Arabidopsis thaliana: one gene and its partner. The protein of the gene in region 1 interacts with the protein of each later gene in a pairwise test. Each region holds a gene or a part of one and is shown on either strand. Other genes may lie near its edges.

The links.
Region 2: the proteins of AT3G44785 (region 1) and AT2G33720 interact in a two-hybrid assay, tested with the Arabidopsis thaliana proteins (one large-scale study listed by BioGRID).

Annotation. Positions count from the first base shown.
Region 1 is NC_003074.8:16,327,486-16,330,153, reverse strand, and holds AT3G44785 (Zinc finger C-x8-C-x5-C-x3-H type family protein), read left to right. Parts: upstream 1-1,705; coding exon 1,706-1,933; downstream 1,934-2,668. Other genes in the region: AT3G44790 (TRAF-like family protein), read right to left, coding at 1-341, 623-897, 1,011-1,159, 1,265-1,362.
Region 2 is NC_003071.7:14,261,761-14,265,810, forward strand, and holds AT2G33720 (AP2/B3-like transcriptional factor family protein), read left to right. Parts: upstream 1-1,971; 5' UTR 1,972-2,015; coding exon 2,016-2,327; intron 2,328-2,560; coding exon 2,561-3,229; 3' UTR 3,230-3,442; downstream 3,443-4,050. Other genes in the region: AT2G33730 (P-loop containing nucleoside triphosphate hydrolases superfamily protein), read right to left, coding at 3,919-4,050.

The DNA of each region.
Region 1 (2,668 bases):
AGTTGAGCTTCTATGTCAGAGCACTTCTGCTTGAAGATCTTCAGCTCTTCCTCTAGTTCTTGCATCCGAGACTTACCAATCTGCTCTTCCATCTTCTTTTCCTTCACTTCCTCCAATTTACGCTCTAACCAATCCACCTTAAAGTCCGAATCTTTCAGGTATCTTAGTGCTTTCTCTGCCTGGCCCAGGTCATCAATGGAAATGTCTTGCAGTGACTGGCACAGTGTATCGATTAGGCTGAGGAGGACATTCATACATGATGTCCTCACATGTTGGTTCTTTGCTCGGAACTCTAGTGCCATGTTTGGGTGTCTTTCAAAGATACGTTTCACCGATTCCACCTACAATTGTAAAAAAAGATGGATAAAGTATAAACTCATGTATAGTTTGTATACGTATCCACAAACTGAATGGTTAGATTATAAAGATGCCATTTATTCCCTACATTGTCTTAGTGTTCTACTGATAATTTCTAAACAGAAAAAGAGACCACCTCTAATCCAAAGTCAGCAACAACAAAGAAGGAACTGGTAAGACTTATAAGTTTGAAAAGCATCTGAAATCAGTTCCTCCTATCTAATGAAAAGCATCTAAAAAGTTTGAATCTTTATGAACTTGTTACCTGTGAAGGAAGAACCTGAAACCCATTGACATCAATGCTTTGTTTTACGGAAACACCATCATCGTTTAGCCTTATCCTTTTCAGAGGTTGAGTTACTTCTTGAGATCCCTCTGAAACATCTAATTTGCCAATAACTTGAAGAACATCAACCTCCACAACAATCTTGACTTCATTGTTCACAAGAAATCCACCTTTCTTCGCATTAAGTTTGGTAAGGGAAATCATGTGTCGATTCCCAGAGAGAACAACGTTTTGGTCAAACCATGTTTCCGTTTCTATAGACAAAGAAAAGATAGAACTGATCTAACTCAAAACAAACACAAGCAGACAGAAATATAAATCACAAAAATAGGAACTTTGCTTTGTCCAAAAGCCTTATAGAAATCACCTCGTTGTTGGGAAAGTTCATCGGAAAGTTGATTTACAACAGTTAGGCGAAATCGTGTGTATCTTCTCCATCCACAAGGCAATGTTTTTGAAGTAGCAACCATCAGAAACAGAGACAAATAATTAGCATTCTGATATCCCTTAAGAAACCTGCAAGCAAAAAAACCATAGAAAAAATGGAAAGATGTTCTCATAAACCCTAAGTTGGACCAAAAAAACAAAATTAGAGATATAACAAACTTGTCTTCTTCTTACCATTTGCAGCCACCGATAACGAATTTATCAGAATTAATGTACTTAGATTGCAAAGATGAGAAATTCTTAATCACCCAAGTGAACTTCTCATACCCCATTGAACTTCACAACCAAACTATCAAAGCCTAAAGTTAAGGACGACCAAAGCAACGAAACCCTATAACCTGACTGTTCACTAGCACTGACACTGTTGTGTCGAACCGTTCTTGCAGCGCTCGTCTTCTTCACTTATATAGATTATGGGCTTCAGCCCAATCGCATTTTGGCCAAATTTAACATAAGTTTGTGGTTGGATTGAAAATAGTTAAAACAGAAGGGGTAAAAAGGTAAATAAACTTAAATCTCTTGAAACATCCATAGGCATAGCAAGTATCAGAGAGAGACCTACCCTAGTCCAAGAAGAAGAAAAGAGTTTCGTGTTCTTCAAAAAGCAATCGGAAGATGGTCGAGCACTTAGCGTCAATATACGGAACGGAGAAAGATCGCGTGAATTGTCCTTTCTACTTCAAAATCGGCGTTTGTCGTAACGGAGATCGATGCTCTCGTCTCTACACCAAACCAAGTATCAGCCCAACGCTTCTCCTTTCGAATACGTATCAGCAGGGCCGGCTCAAACAATTTCTGGACCCAGTACAATCACGAGAGAAGGACCCTAAAAAAAAATTTTAACTTAAGAAAATTACATTTCTTAGTTGTGATAAAAACGATTCCTAATTAATCTGATGAAAAGAGAACATCGACAACTAAAAAAAACAGAGGACAACAGAACATCCTTCAAAACATTCATTGCATAATCGTTCAAGTAAATAAAGCCTTTCTTTGTACATGATCTGCAGCAAAATCATCAATCAACGTCCCGATATTATCACTCCTGGTGTTGATGTATGCAAAAAGATTTCGAGGTTTGTAACTTTTTCTTCCTCAGGAGATTGAATTTTGGGAATGATTTATGTACGAAGCTACTTGTTTGCAAGTATCTTCCTCGTACTGTTGACAAGTAGCTTCGTACATAAATCATCCCAAAATTCAACAGTAAAAAGCATTAGCATGTCACATGTTTCTTCTTTTGTCATGTGTGGTTCATATAGATTTCCTATGTTGTACTAAAACCACCTGACTCTCTTGACAGTGGATTGAGGAGGCAGTTATATGGAAGATACAAAAACAGGCATAGCCATTGCGGAAGTATAGGAGCCCTTACAGGCATTATAGTCACGAAGATCGCTCTCATGAAAGGCATAACCGCAGTAGAAGTATGGTCATGATGATGGGGAGAGCCGTAGCAGGAGCAGAAGATACGGGAGCAATAGTCCTCGCCGCAAGAGAGGACGGAGGAGTAAGAGGAGAAGCAGAAGTCCTGGTGGAAGGAGACAGAGAAGTCCTGTTAGGGATGGGAGCGAAGAA
Region 2 (4,050 bases), on another chromosome or scaffold:
TTTATGGGGTTGAATATTGTCATTGCGCCTTATCAGAAACACAAAAACAAAAAAAATATTGTCATTACATGCATGATGTTGATGAATTATTTTTCAATCATATAAACTTGTGGTTGAAGAAAAAGCACAATATTTAACAAACAAAAACATAACCTGAAACAATATAAACTTACTTTCTAAATTAATAAAACATTTGACCGAATGGGGAATCTAAAAGTGTGTCATATAAGATATTGATTTAAAGACCTAGATGACGTATGGGCTTACATAATATGTGGTCAACATTGAATATTATAGTCAGAGCAAACTTCGCACGAACAAATCAACTCCAATCTCACACCAATAGCATAAGACCATGCCGTAGTCTATATGATTGCCACAAAAGAATTATTCTTATTGGCCAACTTTGACCTAGTGTTATATTTGTATTTATATCTTTTAATTAAGTATTTATTGAATTATGTATATACATTGATTGTTGCATTCATCTTTTTTACTTAGTATGCCATCTATTCAATTAGATGAACACATTGTAATACTATAATAAATTACGTATGTTTAGTTACGATAGTGCTTTAATTTTGATCTAAACCACATGATCTAGTCAGAACGCTTTGATCGATATTTGTTTGTGTTTATTTTTTTTGTTGTTGCTAAATTGTAAATATCAGTAAGGAATGAAAGTTGGGGCGTACAAGAAGTTAGACCTATAAATATAATTGCTACTTTGCCAAAAAGGTATAAAAACAAGGGAACATATACAAGAGAATTTTATGAGATTCAATAAAAGAGCTTTAGTGGAGCCACACGGTTGCATCAGTCTTGAGAAGCTGCGCAAATGTCGTCTTGCTGAGATTGAGTTACGGAGTAACTTGTATATTGTTTTGGAGTAACTTGTGCTTGGGTTCAATTGGTTTACTAGTACTTTATGTAGCAAGTTATAGAACAGTTCATATCTGTATATACAGTTTGTGAGGGTGGCATTTCCACAGTCTCTATTGGTATTGTATGTTTATGAGACAATTCATGTTACGTATATGAATTGTTACAAAACTTTATGTTGTGACCAGCTACAAAATTAGTTACCAAGTCAATATCCATGGCCACGACAACACAATAGCGGCCACTATACTAGTGAACAAATCATCGGTAGCTATACTTCTTGGAAATGGTAATGAATACTACAAAAATAACCCCACAATATTCTTAAGTTTTTTGTGTGGCTACACGCCTACACTAGCTTAGTCATGGATAAAGTCGTTTACATATGTGATATGTCCGCCTAACCAATGAGGATTCTGATTTCTGAATCGGGCAGATTTGTCCGGAACACGATCTATGCTCATGTAGGTCCTCATCACTCTTGCAATGATCTTTACCACAATTAATTCACAAATTCAACTTAAAATCTTATAAGTTGAAAAAGCTCCGATCCTCCCTCTTTGTTCACATTAAAACAAAACAGAACTTATTGAACACATATCTGCATGACTGCATTTTAAAAAGAAAACTAGCTGTATTGGGCTATGTTGTGGGCTTCGCTAGCCCATGTAGGTTGAATATCTCTTGTCATAGTAATGACCATCTATATTGAAATAAAATTCTTATGATAACACAAACCATATTAAATCTGAACATTGATTCACGCAAATAGAGATAGTTGGCACCAAAAGTCTAAGACGCACACTCATCTTCATAGGAAACCCAAACCCTAAGAAATGGAAAATTAACAGCTTCATAGTTCAAACGCAGAATAAAAATAACTACAAAGGTAATATTCAGTTTTCACATAAATCATTTTCCTTTTTTCTATAACAAATGGATTTCCTTTTTTAAACAGGAAAATACCTGAAAAAGTTAAGGCAAAGGTGGCTACTAAATTATTTATATATCTACGTTCCCTTAGCTCTCTGAACTTGAGTCTAAGATAAAGAAACTCTCGACGACATCTTGAGAATCGAACGAGAATGATCCAAAATCTGCAAAAATTACCCCAAGACCTCCAATCCTCGGCAATGAAGATGCCTCCTCCCTTTTCTGCGTCGAAGACTCAATACTTGTTCCACGACGAGTCATCGGAAAACTCTAAAAAGAGTTTGGTCTCCACAACTCTTTCTTTGTCGTCTTGTGAAAACCCTAATAAGAGGAAGATGAACTCTGACGAAGTTCTCAATATTTCTTGCATACCAAGAGACTACAAATTAACACAAGTAGAAAGAAAGATTGCACGAATGAGGAATCTCTCGTATCAAGAAAAGGCAGAGGACGAATGGTACGGTGTCTCAACAGAACTAACACTCTTCAAGGATCCGTGGATCATCAAAAAGGTACTAACCACTAGCGATCTTGGCCAGATATACAGGAGAATCCCTAATATTTGAATCAATATAGATGTTCTGGACATATTCTTAAATTATTTCATATCGATCTGATTTTTTTTTTTTAGTCATAAAATATGAAAATATTTGTAAATGTAAAATTTAAGAAACGCTTTTCAGAAACCATTTATTTACTAAAAAAAATATATGACTAAAGAAAAGAGTTTTGATCCTTTGGTCAGGTTTTTCACTTTGCTTCAGTCTTGGATATGGCTCCCAACTCAGTCTCAAATACTCATTGCTTGTTGGACACGGAGTCACCAGAAAACGCTGAAGAGAGTTTGGTCTCCCTGGATCTGTGTTTCTATGACAAAACATGGCCACATGATCCCAATGTTGCTTACAATAAACCAACGTCCGAAGAAGCAATAAACCTGGCGTGGATGAGGACTATGTCGAAGAGAGCAAGAAAAGAAGAGGAGAAGTACTACGTCTCGACAGAACTAACTCTCCTCACCGTCGCTGACCCATGGACCTTGAAGATGGCAATGACCAAAAGCAGTATTGGCAACCTATACCGTCTTGTTCTAAAGGCGAGCTTTGTAGACATCCACATTCTGAGATATCTCCCTTTGGATGATCAAATGATGGTCAAAGAAGACTCTGGATTAGCAGTCGAGGTGTATGATCACGACACTGACTCTGTGCACAATCTGGCTCTTAAGAAATGGGCCAAATCTTCAAGCTTTGTTCTCGTCAGCGGATGGCGTAAGTGCTTTGTCGACAGAAGAGGTTTGCAGGTTGGCGATGTGATTGGAATGTATTGGGATCGTTCTGAATCTAAGCTTCATTTTTGTGTGCTTTCTCGTTCCGAAACAATGGATTCAGCTCCTCTTCCTCCAAGTCCATAGGACCTCACTAGCTATGGAGGCTCTGCAGAGAGATTCTTATTTTCTTTATGTAATCGTCAAACAAGTGATTGGTGTTGTTTCTGTTTTTTTGTTGTTGTCTCGGTGTTTTGGTTTCATGTGTTTTTGTTTTTTAAGTATACCGGTGTTGTTTTTTATGGTTTCATGTGGTTTTTATATGTTTTAAGTGTTAATAAAGAATCCTGCTCTCATTATAAGTAAAAGTAGTTGAGTTATTTGTTACAAACCCACATATAACAATGCAACATAGTAGTTGTAGACAAATCCACCACGGGGCATTAGATATTACAAAAGAATATTTCACATTCTCTTAGTGTTTTAGGATAAAGGAAAGGTCGAGTTCGCGAAGTCATTTTCCACATAACCAAATTGCATTGTTGTCTCTTGCTTAGCATCGTCTCGAGCATCAATTTTCAATTTAAAACACAAAGAGGAGATATATATGTGGAAAAATTAGGCAGAGAATCAAAGATACTTTTCTTGAACAAGACCAGTACTAAATCGTTTTAAAAAGGTACTCAAGTTTCAACTATTACACTTGCTACTGCTTCCTTCACTATCAAACTACGAATCTTAAAGATAAAACATGCGACTAAGCACACGCATGAGATCAATCCCAAAAGGTAAACGTCACTGGGAAAGTTAAGAACAAATCCAGAGAGCCTATCGACTCAATTTATATAGACAGTGTCACTATGTCTTGGGGGTCTATCAGGAACCGTACCTGGTTTGAATCTGGACGCTTCATGTCTCGCCAGCTCAGGAGGCACCGCACTGTTGCTCTGAACAAGCATCTGCTTCAG